Linked DNA regions of Macaca fascicularis. The protein of the gene in region 1 binds, or shares a complex with, the protein of each later gene. Links are inferred from orthologs where the notes say so. Each region holds a gene or a part of one and is shown on either strand. Other genes may lie near its edges.

What was found.
Region 2: the proteins of MCHR2 (region 1) and PMCH are in contact, whole or in part, in a cryo-EM structure (PDB 8WST), measured with the Homo sapiens proteins. The link is inferred for Macaca fascicularis from reciprocal best matches to the Homo sapiens genes MCHR2 and PMCH. Residues at the interface, in NP_001035269.1 of Homo sapiens: His82, Gln92, Trp93, Gly96, Gly97, Thr110, Asp113, Gln117, Ile175, Phe177, Val181, Ser183, Cys184, Ala185, Phe186, Leu188, Thr189, Ser190, Pro191, Val194, Tyr197, Thr198, Tyr267, Gln271, Asn274, Met277, Glu278, Gln279, Pro280, Phe284; in NP_002665.2 of Homo sapiens: Leu151, Arg152, Cys153, Met154, Leu155, Gly156, Arg157, Val158, Tyr159, Arg160, Pro161, Cys162, Trp163.

Annotation. Positions count from the first base shown.
Region 1 is NC_088378.1:75,383,693-75,395,378, reverse strand, and holds part of MCHR2 (melanin-concentrating hormone receptor 2), read right to left. Parts: intron 6,358-11,686; coding exon 6,148-6,357; intron 1,899-6,147; coding exon 1,704-1,898; intron 1-1,703. UniProt on the Homo sapiens protein: Receptor for melanin-concentrating hormone, coupled to G proteins that activate phosphoinositide hydrolysis.
Region 2 is NC_088385.1:109,183,905-109,194,769, forward strand, and holds PMCH (pro-MCH), read right to left. Parts: upstream 5,530-10,865; 5' UTR 5,481-5,529; coding exon 5,232-5,480; intron 5,231-5,231; exon of another isoform or gene 4,886-5,230; coding exon 4,679-4,885; downstream 1-4,678. Other genes in the region: PARPBP (PCNA-interacting partner), read left to right, coding at 3,022-3,157, 3,667-4,007. UniProt on the Homo sapiens protein: MCH may act as a neurotransmitter or neuromodulator in a broad array of neuronal functions directed toward the regulation of goal-directed behavior, such as food intake, and general arousal. May also have a role in spermatocyte differentiation.

The DNA.
Region 1 (11,686 bases):
CAGCTTGGAGGCTTTTTCATATCTTTTTTCACTACTCTGAAGCCTGAGGAACCGTCTCATCCTCATATTTGAGTTCTGGAGTTCTGGGATATTGCTAATGCTAACCTTGGTGCTGTATATTTGTTTTTGATTTTCTGAGGGCTCAGGGGGGCATTCAGTCAGCTTGCTTCTATGCTGCCATTTTGGAACTGGAAGTCCAGTCCTATCTATGTTGCACTATTATGTTCTAAATGTTTGTGTTCCCTCAAAATTGCTATGTTGAAAACCTAACCCCCGATATAATGGTATGAGGAAGTGGGGTCCTTGGGAAGTAATTAAGTCATGAGAGTGGAGCCTTCATGAATGGGAATAGTGTCCTTATAAGAAGAGACACAAGAGAGCTTGCTTCCTGTCTCTCTCTTTTGCCACATAAGGATAGAATGAAAAGTTGGCAGACTGCAACCTGGAAGAGGGCTGTCATCAGAACTTGATCATGCTGGCACTTTCATCTTGGATTTCCAGCTTCTAGAACTGTGAAAAATAAATTTCTATTGTTTACAAGCCACCTAGTCTATAGTACTTTTTTATACTAAACTGAACAAAACATGCATGTATATGAATTTTATTTTTTACTGGATTAGTGGATTTGCAGGTCCTTTACTGCCATCCTTCTTTGGCTGCGTCCACATAATGCAGAAATGACTCATCTGTTTGACAAGTTATAGAGTCGGAGAAAGGGATCTGCCGGACTGACTTGAGATAGCATATGTAAAAATATCTAACACAGTTATTGGCCATTGGTAGTTGCTCAAAGAATTTAATCATGAACTCCAATTCTATGTTCAAATTTCACATTGAAGACTTTTAATTTCCTTTTAAATTAAAATGCATAAAATGGCTATGGTAGTTGCATTAGTTTCCTAGGACTGCTGTAAGAAATTAGCACAAACTGGATAGCTTAAAACAATAGAAATTTATTCGCTCACAGCTCTGAAATCTAGGCATCTGAAATCAAGGTGCTGGCAAGTTTGGTTCTTTAGAAACTCTGAAGGAGAATCTGCTCTATGCCCCCTCCTACCCTCTCTGCTGGTTTCTGGCAATCCTTGGTGTTCCTTAGCTTACAGATACATCACTCCAATCTCTGCCTCTGTCTTCACATGTCTCTTTTCTGTGTGTCTCTGTATTTCTTAAAATCTGCTTCTCCTTATCAGGACAATAGTCATTGGGCCCACCTTAATCCAGCAAGACCTTAACTTAGCTTGATTACATCTGAAAAAACCCTATTTCCAAATAAGGTCACATTCACAGGTATGGCAGGGGGGAGCTGGTGTAGGACTTGAACATATCTTTATAGGGGACACAATTTCAGCAAACTGCAATTGCATACTGATGAGCTTTGAGTTTGAGTGACTCTGGAAATTCCTTACCTCCCTTGATTGCTGCATTCCCACTGCATCTGGCTGCTATGAATCTTTAAAATCCTATTTAAATATATTTGTGTCCACTGAGGTTACATGATTGAATTCAAAATCTTTTCTAAAGGTTATCCTCTCCTTAAAAATCAAACTATCACCTTGATTGCATGTGTGGAGGGACCTAAGTGGAGATACTGGTGAGAAGAGGATCCACAAGGATACTCTTTGAGGCTGCTCACATGTTGACAAGGAGAATGAAGTAATTCACAACTTAATTCAACTCATTTTTCTTAAGTTTTAACAACTTACCAGAGTACATCGTCAGGGGATGTCAAATCAAAAGCACAACTCTCGACACCGTCTTTAAATTTGATGACCTTCGAGTAGATCCAGACAGGCAATGCCAGGATAAAGGAAGCTGCCCAAAGGCCCAAATTGATCCGGATGGTCTTGTACCTTGTTCTCCAACTTGTCAGTCGAAATGGTTGGACGAGGGCAAAGTACCTGCAAAAGCAGTCAGGAAGAGTTTTGGAACAATCAATAAAAACACTGAGCTCCAAGGATGAAAGGTTCATGACGAGCGTAAATTATTAGCATTATTGTCCTCTCTGAAGCACACCTCTATCAGGGTGAAAGAAAGTTATATTTTTTAAGAGCTGCCTGGTATCTGTAGAGAAAACAATTCTTGGCCCTGCAAGTCTGAATAAACCACTCACTGAAATAGTTGTTCCTTCTATGAACACACTGATAATGGCAAAATTCTGCAGTGCACTCTTTACAAAGGCGCTTGTCCTGTAAATGAGACTCTGGAAAACTTTGTCTCTGAATACGGATTTCCTCCAGGAGGAAATGACCCTTTTCCCAGCAAGATTTACTGACACAGAGGCAGGAAGGAGGAAAATGTGGGGCTAAGAGAATCTCTCAGCAGAAAGGGATTCAGGAACATAGAACAAACATTTTGCCCCGATGGCTTTATACTAAAGTCACCACGCTCATGGAGTTTCAGCTCACAGAAGTCACAGTGAGGATGAACAAGTGTGACTAGTATAGACAATGCAAATTCCTTAAGGAACTTAGGCTAGGAGCCAGAGGGAAGAAATGGGCTAATTTCATGGGGAAGCATTTTTCTTTATTTTTTTTTCTTTTCATTTTACAGCCAGGAAAAAAGTGGTAATCATTAATCAAACTTGAAATTCTGACATATCTAATATATTTAGTCCTCCAGCAAATCCAAAGAATTTTTCAGAGCAAAATGAAAACTGAAGAATGAGAAACAAGAGCTCAGATTCAGAAGGAAGGCCTATTTGAAAAAGCACAGCTTTGCTGGGGGCTGGGGGGTGGTGGAGGATAGTATCAGCAGAAATTAAACAAATGTAAAAATGGTTTTTATGGTCACTTAAATTTCTCCAAGTTTTTGTAAAGCTACTTAATGAAGACTCACAAAAATAAAAAAATTTCCTCTTCTTTTGCCCTTTCAATTTTGCACCAGAAGCAGGACATTTGTATTCAGTTAAGGGGCCTTTGGTTGCAGAGAGTGGTCTGGCCAGGGTTCCTCGGCTACCCATCCTCTGCACACTGCACATGCATTCCCTGTGGCTAAGGAGAGAAGGGCCTCTTTTCTCCCTGCTGGGGAAGTGGATACCGTAGTGACTGCATAGCAGCCCAGCCGTCAGTTTTACTGGAATTATAGGATGATGAAGTCATGGGATCAAGCAATTAAGGAATCTTCTCTGATAGCATCCCTCCCCAACTGAAAATCTTTCAATGGTTTTCTATAAATTCTCAGAATTCCTCCCATGTTCCACAGGTCTTTTTTTCCCACCTGGTTCTGCCTGCTGCTCAAGCTGGAGCCTGTGCCAGTCTCTCCCTTGACTTCCTCAAGCTCTTCCCCTTTCAAGGTCAGGTATATGCTGTGCTACCTGCCTGGCGGGATCTGCTTCTGCTTCTTCCTGCTCTTCCTTCAAGACCCTATTTAACCGTCTCCCTCTTAGGGAAGACTTGTTTGACCACCCATTCTATACAAGGGACCACGACTGTAAAAGAATATTATAGGGAGACTCTATTTTTCCTTCCTAGTGTGTTATCACTATGTGGAAATAAACATTTACTTGTGGGACTCTTCACTTAATGTCTGTCTATGTCACTAGAATGAAAGCCCCACGAGGGCAGGAGCCTTGACTATTAGTTTAAGGCCACTGTATCCCCTGTGTCCAACAATCTCTGGCATATGGTTCATGCTCAATAAATATTTTTTGAATAAATGAATGAATAAATTGCAAATTTTGGCTCCTACTTACTGACTCCTGATGTTTTAGAGAATTTATTTATAAAAGTAGCCACTAATGAAAGTCTAGGTAGCTTTCATTTGAAAGCAAACATTTTTGACATTTTGGGTGTTTATATATTGTTTTTGTATGGCTATGGAGGTAGGAGCCGACTACTAGATATTCTACACACTTGCAGTTATCACTAATTAGGGAAAGCAAAATGAGTTATTGGAAACACTTGAAATGTATGATCCATTAAATTGGCAATTAAAATGATTTAAATATGTAAACACTAAGGCATACTGATGGCACCGACATTTAGTTATGATCTTACAAAGCAAGCCTCATTTCTCTCTTACAAAATTGCAGATTTTGTTAAACTTTAATGATTTTAGTAGAGTTAGAATTACAAGAACTGTGAGGAAGGTAATGGTTCAGTTTTATAGCCTCTTCATTTGTTTCTTACCACCTGATTTTCCAGAGCGAGGGGAAGGAAAGGGCAGATGTCTTAAATGTGAAATGAAATTTTAGCATACTATGTCAATTGGATTAAAACCAAACAAAACAAAAGACTACGAGTAAGATACACACGCATGCATGTGTGTACATGTATACATACAGAGAAAAATCTGTCAATATTAAAAAATATACACAGTTTGTCTGTTCCAAGGCAGAAAATGCCCATTCACTTCATTTACAGTAAAAGATTTACAGGAGTATACCCCTCTTTTTTTTTTTCTCAAAAAAAAGGCAATATTCTCCTGCATCCAAGGCACAGTGTATAAAGAAGCTCGTATTATCCCCAAGAATGGGATTACTAGTGGTATGGTCTATACCTTAGGTTGCTTTTCCATAGTGAGCCTGGCCTGTTCAAGGCCCTCTTCCTGGTATTGGAACCCTGACATGTTTATGGGGCTTTTCTCATGACACAGTCACAGTGGCTGGCATCAGCTGAGCTAACTAGACCTATGCAGTATATTGATTTAAAAATATGCGAATTATAAGTTGAGAAGGAAACTTTATATTTTGAAAATTCTCTTGCAAAAAAATAAAAGTATATTTAAAATTTTACCATTATTATTCATTTTTGTCAGAGTGGATGATTTATATGAACCTTGTCATTCTTTTTTTGTCCATCTAAAGAATGGTTCATCACTTCCCCACCCAAGAGTCCCATTTGGAAGGGTGAAAGAGGGAGGGTTCAGGAAGATTTCTGGATGGACCCGGGGAAATTTAACATACCCTTCAAGACATTCATTCATTCATTCATCAATATTTTTTTAGCACCTGAGTGCCAGGCAGCGTTACACACACATTTATGATATATTTATGGACAAAGACCTGCCTTTGGGGAATTTACATTTGAGGTGCAAGGGAACTAGACAATAAATCACACACACACACACACGCACACACACACACACGTGATTTATGTAATATATTTGAATCAAAGGAAAAAGACAGTAGATCAGAGAAAGGAGGATTAAATGTGTTGGGCTGGGGTTGGGTTGGGAAGAAGGCAGATGGAGATTTTAAGTGGGTTTTTCTGAAAGACAGAGTAACACTGTTGGAAGTACTATGGTTGTCTTTAGGCCCTGTTTCTGTTTGAGGTGAGCTGTTAGGACCTGGGGTGGACATTCTGGCATCCGGATAATGCAGGGCACATCCTAGCTTGCATGCTTCCTAGACAGGCCAGAGATTGAAGCAGTTACAACTACCTGCCATCTCTAGAGTCAGATGATTTGGGTCTGAACTGGATTCTACCACTTATCGGCTCAATAAGTACTCACTATCACCATCATCTCCTCAAATAACATTAGCTTACATGGATGGTGAAAGGGGCTATGGCACATTCCAGGACATAGTGGTATACATTTCTAATAATATAAAATGACAGCATTTGTATTAACCAATCACAATAATGTTTGTGAAAGATGATCTTCTTGGCACTGGGAAATTGCTTCATGGTCATATAAGAACCTCTATTTACTCCACTGATTCCTTAGAGCTATGAGGCAATAACAAGTGTATGAGACAGTGGACATATCAGAAATAGCCTTGGACAGAGACTAAGGAAACCTACTTTAATTCTTGGCTCTGCTGCTAATTCTCTATGTGCTTCTAGCAGATCTCCTCACCTCTTTGGGCCTCAGCTTCCTTACTGTGAAATTCATGGGGGGAATTCATTCTGGTTTCTAATATTTCACGGTTTTGTGATTTTTTTTCATGCAGTGAATTGCAAATAAAACTGAGTTGAAAAGAATGATTAGAAAAAAGGAGATTTTTGTGTTTTATGTTTTCCATTAAAAATAGACCTCTGTGAAAGTTGAACAAAATATTCTTAAGTAATCAATCCTACAATGAAACAAGCAAAGGAAGAAAAGCTTTGCTGTAATAAACCAAAACTGATGTTGGAATTGGAATGAGCTTGGGGAAGCGCAGGCACCTCTGAATTATATTAAGATATTTCAAAGTCCTTCACTTACCTGTCCACACTCATTACAGTCATGATGGCACTACAGGCAAATTGGTTACAAGTATCCAGGGATGTGATGATGGTGCAGAGAGGCCCCCCAAATACCCACTCTCCCCCTCGGGCCCACTGGTGAATAAGAAAAGGCATTCCAATGATGTGGACCAAATCAGCCACAGCCAGGTTGCAGATATAGATGTCAGGGACTGTTTTTTTTCTGGACCTGAAAGAGATAGAGGAAACTGAGGTTTGACATTGAATGTATACAGACTATTCAATATATGCTACCTGATACAATTTTTAATTGCCATAATGCATTTTAAAATGTTAAAGGAAACCTACACAAATGCATAGAGGAAATGCCTAGTCTTGTGTATATTTAAGCATTTTGAACTATTTATTTGATAACTTACTGTGGTGGTTTAAAAATATGTCCACAAAATCTTTGATATTCCTTTCAATAGGTGTAGCCTAATTCCCTCTCTCTCTTTTTTTTTCAATTCCCTCTCTTTGAGTGTTGACCTTATTAACTTGCTTCTAACAATGAGAATATGGCAGAAGTCACAGTGTATGCCTTTGAAATTGGGTCACAAAGTTATTGTAGGGTTTTCTCTTTGCTCTCTATTGGATTGCTCTCCCTGGTGGAAGCCTGTTGCCATCTTGTGAGGATACTCAAGCAACACTATGGAGAGGTCCACGTTGAGAGGAGCTGAAGCTCCAGTCAACAACCAGTCAGTACCAGCTTTCGAGGTATGGGAATGAGCTACCTTGGAAGTAGATCCTCCAGCTGCAGCCAAGCCTTCAGATGACTGTAACCCTGGAAGACAGCTTGATGGCAACTTTATGACAGTTCATGAGCCAGAACCAACCAGCTAAGCTGCTGCTGAATCCATGACCACTGGACACACATGAGACAGTAAACGTTTATTGTTTCAATCCGGTATGTTTGGGGTAATTTTTTAATGCAGCAACAAGTTATACCAACTTTAAATACACTCAGACAAAAGATTTAGTCTTTACTCATTCCTAGTATTTAAAACAGCTGAAGACTGAAAATAAATGATTTCTGTTGTCTAATGCTTTTTTTTTTCCTGTTGTAACTTAGGCCATTGTTAAGATTTCAACAATGACTTAGAAATATTCCAGAAAAATCTAACAAATAGCAAAGACTATTAATAAAGACCCTGAGATCCAGACAGAGAGAGTCATCTGAAAAGAGGGAGCTGGTAGATGGCACTGAGAATGATGTCATGTCTCCTGTGGGGAGCTGGGGGTGGGAGAAGTGAATTCAGTGCTATCTAGAAGTGGCCTTCTCATCAGCAGGTGAAATACATTTCTGAGAGCAGAAATTTAAAATTCAGCTGGTTCCTCTTTCAAGGAGCTGGCACATTCAATAATAAACAGGTATCATCTTTATCTGGGAGATGCTGTTTATTAATTCAACAAACATTTTGTTGAGCACCAATTACATGGCAGGCATAATACTGTGCTCTAAGGCTGTAAAGCTAAACCATGTATAAACCCTGTCATCAAGGAGCTTATAGTCTAGACTTGCATAAATAAATGATCACATTACAATTTGATGAGAGAAAACTAGAGACAAGTACAAGGTCAAGAAGCACAAAGAAGGGGCCCTCTCCTTTTTCTTGGGCACAGTCAAGACAGGTTTCTTGGCAGATGTGGACAAATAAGAATTTAAAGAGCATATAAGAACCAGTCCTAAGATTATGCCACAATTGCTAGTTTTCTCCTATTTCTTTTTTTTTAATTTATTTTTTATTATTATTATACTTTAAGTTGTAGGGTACATGTGCATATCGTGCAGGTGTGTTACATATGTATACTTGTGTCATGTTGCTGTGCTGCACCCATCAACTCGTCATTTACATCAGGTATAACTCCCAATGCAATCCCTCCCCCCTCCCCCCTCCCCCCTCCCCATGATAGGCCCCGGTGTGTGATGTTCCCCTTCCCGAGTCCAAGTGATCTCATTGTTCAGTTCCCACCTATGAGTGAGAACATGTGGTGTTTGGTTTTCTGTTCTTGTGATAGTTTGCTAAGAATGATGGTTTCCAGCTGCATCCATGTCCCTACAAAGGACACAAACTCATCCTTTTTTATGGCTGCATAGTATTCCATGGTGTATATGCTCCTATTTCAGGGCTAATGCTCTGCTGTTTGGAAGCTCGTGTGTGTCTTTATTATTCATTGGCTACAACTTCTATAACCTGTGAGCTTCATTTCTCAGCTGTCAGATTCTCATGTGAAACATCAGATTGGGTGAGGCCGTCTCTTCTCCAGGCCTTGGCAGCACCCACTATGTGGGGCAGTTACTGCCATGGAGTCCTCATTCAGCAACCATACTGTATGCATTGTTGCTGCCACTAAAAAAACAGGTTGGTTCCTTGCTCTCAGGAACTTAGTGCCTCACACTAGAATGACCAAGAGGGAGAGATGACATGAAGAAAAGATCATGTCAAACAAAAGACCAGCCAGCTGACTGTCCTTGGTCTCTCATCCCCTGTCCTCTCCAGGCCATTAGAGTGGGAAATGGAGAGGGGACAGAAAAGAGGGACAGATATTAGCAGTCAGATAGAAAGAGCTCCAAACTAAAAAAAAAAAAAAACAGACCAAAAAAAATCGTAAATCTTGGTCTATAAATAGACATTATTTGCATGTGAATTGGGATATAAACCATAAGCAGTTGCTTAGGTCTCAATTGCAGCAATTAGATCCATGGCCCTTGTTTTTCTCTAGAGGGGTACCCATCATTTACTGATAATGAATTATGGTAATTATATTGTGGAGACAGTGCAGGCCATTAACTGCCAATTAAAAAGAATTAAATAAAAGTGTGTCTCGATATTCTGTACAGTACAAAGAGAATTCTGAAGCAATTGATAAATTTATCTGGACATAAGTTACTAGGGCAATATAAATAACACATTATATTTATTATTGTCTTCTTTACTGAAAGCAACAGCATCGAAATTAAAAACAAATAGAAATTGTAAAATTTCTAACTATATAAATTATATCCCATTTTAGGTCTAATTTATCTTCAGATTTCCTGATGTCAGACTTCATGAGATTTATGTTTCTTATGATGCAAACATTTAAAATAAAATACAAAGACTTGTGATAATTTTGGCTAACATGTGTTCCATATGGTTAAAGTGGTCATATCTAATGCTCATTAATTTGAGGAATGACAAAATAAATTACGGTATTCTACACTACCACACTCAATAGGATATAGCTGTTATAAGTCATAGTTTGAAAGAATATTTAATCACATTGGGAAAAAAAGAAAGAATACTCGTGTAGAGCATGACTCTAAATTTATTTAAACATTTGTTAAAAAATTTGCAGGAACAATATGTCAAGTGATCACAGTGATCATCTATTTGGTAGTAGTATGACTGATTTTTTTACTTTACTGTTTGCATTTTCTGACAATTTTTCAAAATTTCTATTAAAACCATGCTTACCTTTTGCAATCAGAAATAACAACATATGATATGGATTCAGTAAAACTAACAAAACACAACACTACGCATGTAGGCTGCCATGCTTGTCATTCGCTAGCCTGTCCTCAGGCCCCTTTGCCAACTGGCTTCTGATTAGGTTTGGCCAATCAGAAGCACTGGTGGGAACTGGAGAGTAAGGGGGAGAAGAGAAGCCAGAATGTAGCCCTCACTCCATGATCCAAGATACCAGTGGGGCTCCAGCTCCCACCAGGCAGCCCAGACTGCGGAGGGCTGTAAAACCTCTTTCTCCCTTTCTTCCTCCAGCTTGGGGCAGGGAGAGGAAGGTGGTGTTGGGGTGAGGGATGGGGTAGGGTGTAGAACTGGCTTCCTGCTCTTGTTAATCTCTGGGTTGCCTCACCATCCTGTCTGGCATTTAACTCTAGTTGAATTAAATTGCTATCATGAGCCAATGCCAATGGATTAGTAGTCATTTCCTGAAGCACTTTGCTGAGAAGAATTCTGAGTCCTCACACAGGACAGACCTATACAGAACAGATGCTACACAGGACAGACCTGTGTGATTAGAGATGACTGCTAAGGGTGAGAGAGTTTACAGTAGAGTCACATATTTGCCAACCCTTCCCTACATAGATAGAGTGATATAGTGGAAAGATAACTTAATTGGGAATTTTATTTTCATTTCTATGCCCTCACTCATTGTGTCGTTAGGCAAGCCACTCAACTTCTTTAGATTCCCAAGCCGGCTTAGCATATTGGCCAACTGGACCATAGATCAGAACAAATGTGGTTGCAAGGTACTCTGGCATCTAAAACATATCTGTGCAGCCAAGGGTATGGGTCAATTCCAACAAAAGTCTGTGTATGGCTGACATTTGGAATGGTAGAGGGCTGGGTCAGAGGGAGCTGTTAGTTATTATTTAATCTGGGTTGGGAAAAAAGAGACCTGTGTTCTAAAACGTTTCCCATCCCTGTCAGCAACTGGAATTCTGCCATTAGACAGTATTCCTCTAGGTTAATACATTTATTAACCTCTGTTTGTAACCTCTGTTTCATGATTTCATGACTTAGTATTAATTAGTTGACCTGACAGGGAGATGAAGGCAGGAAGTGACAAAATGGGAACTCTTTATTTTTGGAGGATAGGGCACCTTTTATAGAGACTCTGCCCACTTGAAGGGAATCTATCAGTAAACAGAAGGAAGATGTGTTCAGAAGGTGGATGTGGGGGTCTGATAAAAAAAAAAGTCAGTGCCTTTATTAAAGGACAGGTGATTCCCAGGGCCTGCTGTGCCTGTGGAGAATAGTTGAGTAATGGGGTTGAGTTCATTGATCGGTCTCCTGGGAACGCAAGAGGAAAATACTATAATTGGCTCAATTTTCTGCCTACCTTTTCTAAACTGGCTTCTTTTGACCTGCTACAAATTTAATGTACAACAGACTAGTGATGATCTGGCCTCATTATTTTAAAGTCACCCTCCTAATACACAAGTTGCTTCTTGCTTTTACAAAAGGCACATAGAACATCTTATTATTGAAGCTCCACCTTCCTTAAACATATTTATTTTATATATGTTTCTAGTCTTCATTTGGCAAAGTCAGAAATTGGTTCATTGCTTGCTTATGACTCTTAGTTCTATTGATGAACACTGGTTTTGATACAATTACTACCATAAAAGGAAAAGTCATTAAATCTTGTTTAAATGTTATTTATTTCTCCTTATTGTTACTGTAGTCTTAATATTTTATTTAATTCACCTGTCTGTTCAGAAAGTAACAAAAGATCATGGCAAAGCAGGATGAAAACATTAATACAAATTGCCTTAAAATATTTAGAGAGCAATTTGCAAAATGTTGATACATTCCTAGCCAACTAAATAAATAAATAAATGTAAGTTGCTTTTAAATGACTTTTGAAAGATTAATAAATTTTTGGCGAGCAATTTGCAAGGAAAAGTGTTAAAATCTTAGCAAAAAAATTAAAACTGTTGTTTTAATTAAAAGTTGTTCCCTATACTTTTTGAAAGATTAAAATATTTATTTTAAAAGCTCCATTAGCATTTC
Region 2 (10,865 bases), on another chromosome or scaffold:
AATTCTGATAATTCTGTGAGGTAAATATTCCCATTATATGTGGATAAGTGAGAGGTATAATGGTTTCCCCAAAGTTATCTAGTTAATAAGTAATAGGGCCAGTATTAGAAGCCAGGTCTTCTGACTGCAAATCTGATGCTTTTCCCGTCACATCATCTTACCTTTTTGTGCTGCTTTCTTAGTTGGACATCACACTGTTGGCTCTGTCAAGTTTGTATCTATTTAAATCTCTAGGTCTTTTACATATGTTGTTTTTAAGTCAGGTTCTCCTCATCCTGTACATCTGTAATTGATATTTTTGAACTTAAATACTGGACTTTGTTTATCCCCATCCATTTTCATCTTATTATTTTCTACTTATGGTTCTAGCCTTCTGAAATCTTTTCAATCTTGACTCTATTATCCAATTTATTTGTTATTCCTTCCAGCTGTTTGTCAATAGCAAATTTTATAAGTAGAATGTCTTTGAAGTTGTAGAAGCCATCCTAGTAATCTCTAGTATACGCTGTGCTTATCACATAGTTGGAACTTAATAAGTGGTAATTGATTTTAAAAAAAGTGATTTTTGTACAGGACAGGGAAAAGAAAATCTGCATATAATCATTTATGTAAAGAAAAAACCCTCAATATACAAAGGGGGGAATTCTGTTGTGTTTATTTCTCATATTTTAATACATTTATAAATAATATTTTTCATGGTAGAAAAAGTCATTAATTATTTTTCTTTTACATCTGAATTTGTTTTCAGTACTTCAGGAATCCATTGCCTGTGATGGTAGTTTTCTGAAATTTTACTGTGGTCACTGAGGATTCTAGAATTTGTCTATGGAGGAGCCTGAATTGAGGAAATCTAGTTGTAAGGAGAGCTATCACACTTATTTTGTGACTATTTGCCCAGCAAGCAAAGATTTTTTTACCTAGACTATATGTTAAAAATTAATAAAAGTAATGAAACATTCTAAAGAAATTTTTATTCCTGCTAAACATGAGATTGAAGAAACATTAGTTTTCTGTACTAAATAATATAATTATTATTTAGTATTATATTTTTATTTAGCATGTTTTATGGGTGGTGCTCATGAAGGTTTTGCAGTGAGAAGCTAACATCTCCCAAGCTAACTCTAGGTGCCATCACTACTGGGGTACAAAGAGTGATCCAAGCCAGCCACTCAGCATCTATTTGCCTGCGTGGTCTTACTATACTCTTTATAACTCTTTATAAGCAATAAGTTTATAATTCTCTATAAGCCATAACTTCTGTGAAGTGAAAATAATGTGTGAAAAGATAATATCAACAGTTAGTACTGGTGTTGCAGGTGGAAATAAAAGTTCATGGATAATGCTACAATTATGTAGTATAACATAGAGTCAATTTTATAAATAAAACTTATTTAAATAGGTTTATCAAGTGCTTTAAATCTGTAGTTATAGGATTAATAAAGTCCAGAAAGAGCTACTTAAAGTCTTCAGTTATATATAGGGCATCTTGTGGTAGAAGCTATATAATAAGTGTTGCATTCATAGGGATTCATGAAGGTAGTGGGTTGTAGTCCCATTTGTTTTTGAGAGTCCATTCTGTTCAACTTTTTAAAAAATAGTTTTTGATCTTGTGTATTTTCACGTTTATTTTCAGTTTTGTACATTTTTATGCTTAAATGGAAGATAAAATTCCAATTGTCTAATGCTTCATGTAAGCACATGAAACATAATTTTTAGTGATCTGGGAGATGGAGACTGTCACAAACCTCATTAGTCAGAAACAAAATGTGTCATCCTAATAAAACTTGCTTTTATGAAGCAGCTGGACAAGCGATTATTCTGACTTTTTCTAAGCCGTAGTCAGTAGATTTCACTGCTGTTATCTTTACAAACATCTGAGTGAATTAATGCATCGATCTCTGAGTATATAACATAATATACAACTACTCAATGTATAATGTAAAGTCATGCTGTTTTAGATTTCATGACTGTATCAACAAATACTCTGTAAGTGGTAATCAGGGTAATGTAGTTACATTCAAAGTTTTAAATTTTTGAATTATTGAAGTCATCATTATTGAATTATGTATTTGAAACTTTGTCTATTTCATAAAACGATTTCAGGTGACTTCTATTTGGAGACATCTCTCCATTAAACCTGAATGGTATTACACACCATCTGTAATTGTTGAAATCGGCATTATTTATATAGGCTACTTTGTTCTAAAATTAATTTCTATACCCCAATAGCTCACTGGTTTATGTTTGTGGAATACATTTCCAAAACTACTTTTTTTGGCATCTTTTTCAATGGTCAAGAATTAAGTTTATCTTTGTAATTTTCTTCTATTTGTGTAGAAAGTTAGGCCCTCCTATTTGATATTTGAAGATAAATGCAAGAGTATATTTTGAATTTCTGACCATTAAGTCACTTGGTCAAATCTTTCTAGAATGATATATTGAATCCTCTTTCTTGTTTTCCTAAATGCTCGAGAAATAATGTCTTTCCTATATCATTTTGTTTTATCTTGTAGTTTATTTCTTTGCTAGTTTCCTGTTGTTGATTGGCCTCATCTAATTCTTTTCTTCGTCTTAGCATTTCTTCCCTCCCTAATTTCCTGAATTTTATGCTATTTTTTCCAAGAGTTGTGTTCTTCTTAGGATGAAGAACTTGTATTTTTCTATGATTATGTATATCACCTGTATTGTTATTTTACTTACAATAAGATGCTCCAAAGCAGCACTGACATAGGAATGTGTAACAAAGCCCTATAGAGTCTAAAATTGATTGTTTTGTAACTGTTACCAAAAAATAAAACATAAAAAAATACATAAAGCTAGTATTTTGGAAAAGAACAAAAATGCTAGCCATAGCGATGAATGAGTTTGCAAACTATGAGATATAAAAGGTTAGAGGTTCTCAATGAGTAATAGAATTTCTAAGGGAAGTTGTTATACTTTGATTACTATAGAGTGTGTGTCCATCTAGATGAAGAAATAAAATAATGAATAAATGGCATATTTTCTTCTTTCTGTTACCAGATGAAGCAAACTTTAATTAGATCCCAATTTGCTTGTACTTATAAAGATGACTACATGATAAGCAAGGATAATTGGAATAATGTTAATTTAGCATCAAAGCCTTTGTGTGTGCTTCACATGGAAAATGACCTTTCTGGTAATTGACCTTATTTATGCAATTAAATAGCAATTTAATTCTAGTCTACTAATTAGTTTTAACTTAAGTAAAATTAGATTATTTTTGCAAAGTACTGTGAAATGTGAAAGGTTATATTTGTAAAGACCTCAGTTTATTTAAAAAGTTAAATCTAAGTACAAATTTATGGATAGGAATAGGACATAGTTTGATTTAACTAAATGTGTTTAAGAAGTAATTTGTAGCATATGTTTAAGGATTAAATGTCATGCATTCAAACAAATATTTGTTAGTAGGGCTGACAAGTTGATTACTGGCCAAAGTTAACTCAGAGGTGCTATGGTAAAATTAAAAGTAATGGGATAGTAATGTAGCTGTATTTGTTAATCATATTATTTATAACATTATTTTACTTTAAAAATAAACATTTGAATATTCTTTAGCCATTTTTAGAGTTTATTGTAAAGTTCTCGTGAATATTAGTACTAAATATTATATAATTCCTTTCCACTTTTTATCTTGCATAACAGAGGGTGTAAATTCATCTGTTGGAAGGTCAACAATTGGAAAGAGTTTTGGAAATGTTCATCTGGACAGAAGTAAAAATGAAAAAGTATCAAGAAAATCAACTAGTCAGACAGGAAATAAAAGCTCAAAAAGGAAACAGGTGGATTTGGATGGTGAAAATATTCTCTGTGATAATGGAAATGAACCACCTCAACATAAAAATGTTAAAATACCTAAGAAATCAAATGATTCACAGAATAAATTGTACAGCAAACTAGCTAAAGTAGCAAAAAGTAATAAATGTACTGCCAAGGACAAGTTGATTCCTGGCCAGGCAAAGTTAACTCAGTTTTTTAGACTATAAATTTGTGTCTTATATGCTTTAGGTTTATGTATCTATAAACCATTCACCAAAGACATGCTTAATTTTTAAGAGATCAAGGTGTAAATTATGATGATTTATTATTTTGGTCTACAGTGTATGTAAGGTTAGTATGTTAAGCATTGTTTAAAAATACTAGTAAGTCATAATTATGCAGAATTTTCACAAAGTTTAATGCACAGTAAAAGCATATAATTTCAGTTACTGATACATCTTAACACTACTTTCTTTTAAAACAAACATTTAACATGCACAAGTTATAGTAGCATTAGGGGCTTCTCCTCCCATTGACAATTAAATGCTTTTATTTTCTTCTGAAAAGATGATGTGGACCAACAGGTATCAGACTTGCCAACAAGGTCGGTAGACTCTTCCCAGCATACATCTGAGCACTGAAGGAAGAAGAAAGTTTAAATTGTTTAAAGGACTATGATTATCACACAAAATTTATTAAGAAAAAAGAATGGATCTAGCATAACTAATTCTGAGTAAACCAAAATGATAATAATTAATTATTGCTATTCAATCCCACATTTTTGGCAGGTGTAATTGAGCCATGGTCTTATTTGATTTTGTTATGATTGCATCCAAATTCGCTTTAACTCAGAGTTCTGTTTAATGGTGGTAGGACGTAGAATTGAATTTTGAAAAGACTACTCACTGTCAAAATCTCTCCTTCCTATAGGAAATTTAGCTGAGTTTTCTTCATCCCCAATTTCTCTCTTTTCTTGTGTTGATTCAGTATTCTGAACTCCATTTTCAGCTGGAAAAGCTACAGATCCTTTTAGTGCAAGATAAGGTTTTATAGCCAGATTCAGTGGCAGACCATGATTTAAGAAATTATGTTTGGAGCCTGTGTTCTGTAAAGAGAAAGTTGATTTGTTTTTTAGCTATCGTATTCAGAGTGGAACTGTAATAAACTGCATAATATTCTTGTCGATCAATTCAAAGATGCTCTGCACTGTTTTTGACTCTTTAAAAATACCTTAGATGCAAATTTATAGGAGAAAAAAAAACCTTTCAGATAAGAGGGTTTTCCAGGATGGAAGAACTACCTGGCATGCAAGAAATATCGTCAGTTGTCCTAATGCATATTGTGACTGCATATACTTCTATTTATAAAAGTATTAGTTTTACTTTTCAGAGGATTTGTAAGAATCATTTAAATTTTCATTGAAATAAATGACAAGTCACATTGCCACTTACCTTTGAAATTTTGTTTTCCTCTTCGTTCATGAAACTGCTCTCATCGTTTTTATATTGTTCCAGGGAAGGAGCAATAACTGATTCTTCTGCAGTGTCTTCCTTCTGAAAGGCTTTCCCCAACCTGAATGTATTAAATACCATGTCATCGTCTAAATTTCTTATGGGCTTGGATGCTGAAAGTAAAATACCTTGAGAAAACAAAGAAAAAGTTAGTATTAATATGTAGGAAGAGAGATTCATTTTTGCCATTCTTAGTTTGATGTTCGCATACAGTCAAACAAGAAAGAAAATGAAAAATAGCCTGGTTGGCAAACGATTCTGTATCTTTATATATTTTCCAGCTTGAATAAAAAGTACTTCAAAGAATTATACTTTTCATCATTTTGGAAATGACTCAACAGATTGAGGCTAACCTTTATGCAGCTGCTAATACCTATTGTTTTGGTTTTAGTGGTACGTTGTTTATTTTGAGTGTGAATTTTCTCAGCATCTGATTAAGATCCTTGGTAGAATGCTTTCTGTTGAGTAGATTATAGTCTCTTGAAAATGGGTTGTTATTAAGGAAGACCACAGGACATCAGGCTCTCTCTATATTATTGTTTCCTTCCATGTATTTTCTGATTAAGTAAAGATATTAAAACTCAAGTTATTTCACTCAAGGATGATAAGGATAAAGTTTTATTTCCTTTTAATCCTGATTAAACTGAAATAATCCTCAAAAGGGATTTTCTTTTATAAATACTTGATATAGTCTTTGGTGATTAAGGTACATATGCCTGTCAGTGTGAACAAAAAGCCATTCATGCTATATCAAAAATTGACCTGTCAGGTGTATTTTATCTCTGCATTTACAAAAGGATAATAGGTACAAATATTTGTTAATGAATTTAGCAATTAATGAATAAGTACATGAAAATAATATTTATGTGCCCATAAACATTACTTTTGGATGATGAGTGTATATTGTATGACTTAATTAAACATTTCAGAGCTAATTTCTAATTTTGACCCCAATGAGTAAGATAATACATTCTTTTATATGTCTTCTGGTACATATATGTAAGAATTTTTCTAGAGTATATTTCTCAGTATGGAATTGCTGGGTCATGGAGTATGTATATGTTCAGCTTTACTAATGCCAAAATGTTTTCCCACATACTGGTAAGCGATTTGTGCCTCCGATAAACAGGGTATGAGCATTTCCATTGTTCTATGTCCTAGCTGACTCTTAGGCATCTCATTGTCCTTTTAATTTGTATTTTCCTAATTACCAAAGAGGTCAAGTGTCTTCCTATATGTTTATGAGCCATTTATGTTTCCTCTTATGTTAAATGCTTTTTTTTTTTTTTTTTTGCTTTGTCCATTCTTCTATTGGGTTGCCTTTTTCTAATATATTTATGGGAGTTCTTTATATATTCTGGATATTAATTGTTAGTTATATATGTTGCAATTATTTTCTCAGTTTGTGACATATTTTCAACCCCTTTATGGTGTCTTTTGGTGAACCAAACTGATTAATTTTAATGTTAAATTTTTTTCTTTTTTCTTTATGGCAACTACTTTTAATGTGCTGTTTTTAAGAAATCCTTCTCAATCCTTAGATTATTAATGTGTTTTCATATGTTTTCTTCTAAAAGTTTAAATATTTTGACTTTCATGTTTAGGTTTGTAATTCATCTGTAATTTTGTGTATGATATAAGATAGAGATGTAATTTTACTTTTCCCAATGTCCTTATATATTTCTCGAAGAATTCGTCCTGTCCCCACTAATCTGCAGTGCCATCTCTGCAGTATATCAGATTTCTATATATGTGTGGGCTTCTTTCAGAATGTTCTATTCCACAGCTAAATCTACAGTATTAATATAACTTTAAAATAATTTTTAATACTTGATAGGTCAAATTTCCCAGCCCTCTACTCACCCACATGTGTTTCTTTTTCAGTAGTTCCTTAGCTATTCTTAGTCATTTATTTTCCATATAAATCTTAAAATCAGCTTTTCAAGTTCTGTAAGAACACTTGACAGGATATTAAGGTTCAAGTTAGGTATCCCTTATCTGAAACACTTAGGACCAGAAGTATTTTTGGATTTGGGATTTTTTTTCAGAATTTGGAACATTTGCATTATATCAGTTAAGCATCCCAAAATCTGAAATCTGAAATGCTTCAGTAAATATATATATTTTTTAGCATACTGTTAATGCTCAAGAAGTTTCAGATTTTGGAGCATTTTTGGATTTGGGGTTTTCAGATTTGGGATGCTCAACCTATAATCACATTGGTTTTAAAGATTAATTTTGGAGAAGGATTGATATCCTGAAGGTAATTTATTATCTATGAGCATGGCATTTTTCTATATTTGCTTAGATCTTCTTTAATTTTTTTTTCTTCTTTAATCTTTTAATGACATTTTCTTTTCTTCATAAAGGTCTTGCATACCTTTGTTGAGAGAATTATAATTCTTTATCATTTTAATTGAATTTCTTATTTTTGGTTATTATAAATTGTATTTTTTAAAAATGATATTTGCAACATTATTGCTGGTATGTGCATGTGCGTTTGGCTTTTGCATAGTAATTTGATAACAGAAAAAACTTTCCAAACTCTTTTTTTTTTTTAATAGTTTATAAATGTATAGATTCTTTGGGATTTTGTATGAAGACAATTGATATAAATGATATAATAATGGCATTTTATCTCTTTCTCCTCAGTTCATCTATATTGTGTATACATGTCTGTGTGTCTGTTCGTGTGTTCATACACACTGGCTAAAGCCTCCAGTAACTACTGAAAATGGAGATAAGTGATATCCTTGCAGTGTTACTGATTTTACAGATAATGATTTTAATGCTTCACCATGGAGCATAATGTTTGATGTAGGTTTCTTGTAGATACTTGTTATAAAGTACAGGATGTTCTTTTCTATTTCTGGCTTACTAATAGTTTTTATCATGAATTGTTGAATATTATTGAATGCTTTTTTTTTTTTTGCATATATTGAGATGACCAGATCATTTTCTCCTTCAGGCTTTGGAAATATTAACAGATTTTTCTAACGTTAAACTAACCATGTGTTCATGAAAGAAACCTTTAAATTATTGGATTCGGCCGGGCGTAGTGGCTCACGCCTGTAATCCCAGCACTTCGGGAGGCCGAGGTGGGTGGATCACAAGGTCAGGAGATCAAGACCATCCTGGCTAACATGGTGAAACCTCATCTCTACTAAAAATGCAAAAAAAATTAGCCGGGCGTGGTGGCGGGCGCCTGCAGTCCCAGCTACTCGGGAGGCTGAGGCAGGAGAATGGCTTGAACCCGGGAGGCAGAGCTTGCAGTGAGCCGAGATCGTGCTACTGTGCTCCAACCTGGGCAACAGAGCGAGACTCCATCTCAAAAAAAAAAAAAAAAATGATTGGATTCAATTTGGCAATATTTGATTTAGTACATTTTACTAAATCAAATTTAAATCAAATTTACTTTTTATGAATAAGAAAGATTAATTTGTGATTTTCCTTTTTTATATTGACTTTGGTTTGATATTAAGGTTGTACTAATTTCATACATTTGAGGCAAGATTTATCCTTTCTTTTCTGTCTTGTTAGACTGCGGGTTTGGTGTTTTCTTGGTAGGATTTTTGTTAAGAATTGATTTACTTTCTTCAGTAGCTGTAGGAACATTTAGCTTCTCTGTTTCTTTTTTAGTTTGTTTTAGGAATTTACATTATTGTATAATTTTTCTATTTCACTTAAGTACATTTTATCTGAGGTAGACTTAACTGTTGATTTTCTCGGGGACTATTAAGATCTTTCTCAGTAAATGTTTTGTGAGTATAATTATAAACAAAGGACTCTGACATCCCTTGACTTTTTTGATCTTAGAGCTTCCTTATCTTTTTAATGTTGTTAGTTGTGCCCTAATTTGTTTCCCTTGGTTTGAACCTGGTTTGGATGTGCCTGTTTAATCTATAAAAGTCCTTGTTAGGCTGCATGCGGTGGCTCACGCCTGTAATCCCAGCACTTTGGGAGGCCGAGGTGGGTGGATCACCTGAGGTCAGGAGTTTGTGACCAGCCTGGCCAACATGGTGAGACCCCATCTCTACTAAAAATATAAAAATTAGCCTGGTATGGTCGTGGGCACCTGTAATCCCAGCTACTTAAGAGGCTCAGGCAGGAGAATTGCTTGAACCTGGGAGATGGAGGTTGCAGTGAGCCAACATAGTGCCATTGCAGACATAGTGCCATCCCAGACAACGGAGCAAGACTGTCTTAAAAAAAAAAAAAAAAAGTCCTTGTTAATGGAAATCTTTTTTCTTAGATGCAGTTCTGGGAGGGTAATAAATATTAATAATTATGTATTTTGTTTTACATTTCCGCCGGATGAATTGGCTTGACTGATCTTCACTCAAAATTGGGACCAAATCCAAATGATTTTGATAGTTTAGAAAAGTTAATGCTTTATTTTGTTTAAACTGTCATAGCCTCTGAACATTGTGAGGTTTTGCCATAACCATTTAATTATGGAGATAGTTTCCAATTTTTTTAATGATAACTTAAAAAAAAAATTGGTTACTGTGATGTGCAGTGGAGCATAGCAGACTTCTTTTTCATTGATGCTGAAAATGGAATGTCCCCAAGTAGTAGAAGGGAACTTTGGAGAAGTAAAACTATTGCTAGATGGGTTTGGGTGGTTCAGTAAACCTTGCAAAGGCAAAAGGCTTATATCAAATATGATCTTCTTTTTCTGTAGAACTACTGCTGACACTATATATTTGTAAGTCACTTTATATTAAAGTTCTCTTTGCTCCAATTAACACATCTTTGCTATGTGTTGCCGATAAGTTAAATGGCAGTTGGCCATTGGCTTACTGAGAATCATCATTTCTTAGTGGCTAATTGTATGAGTGTAAAAGCCGAGATTGCTCACTTATATAAATTATCAAAAGATGTAAGAAAAGTTAAAATTCCTTCTCAGATTTCTATAGTAAACAACCCATACACTTTCACCTAGAGTTTACCATTAACATTTCACTTCTATCCCTTCCATCCCTTTATTAATCATCTTATTCTTTTAATTCATTTCAAAGTATATTGCATATATCAGTATGCTTTTCACTAAATACTTCAACATACATATCATTAACTGGAATTTAATAGTTGTTTACAGCTTTTTTTTGAAGTAAAATTTATGGAAAGTGAAATGCATAAACCATAAGTGCATATTTGCTAATTTTTGACAAATGTGTATGCTTTTGAAACCCGAAGTCCTTTCAAGATACAGGACATTACCCTCACCCCAGAAAGTTATGTCTTACCTTGTTAGAGTTTACATGTACCACCATTTTCCCCATTCCCACCCCTCATTCCAACTCTGCTCTTAGACAATCACTGTTCTGATTTTTTTCCGCTGTGAATTAGTTTTGCCTATTTTGGAAATATACAGTATGATGTCTTTTATGGAAGGCCTCTTTCACTCAACACGTTTGACATTCATCTTTAATGTTGTAAGAAGCAGTAGTTCCTTCCTTTTTTATTACTGTTGTATAAATATACTACAATTGACTTGTCTCTTTTCCTGTTGATGGACTCTTGAATTGTATCCAGTTTTTGGCTATTACAAATAACACTACCTACATTCTT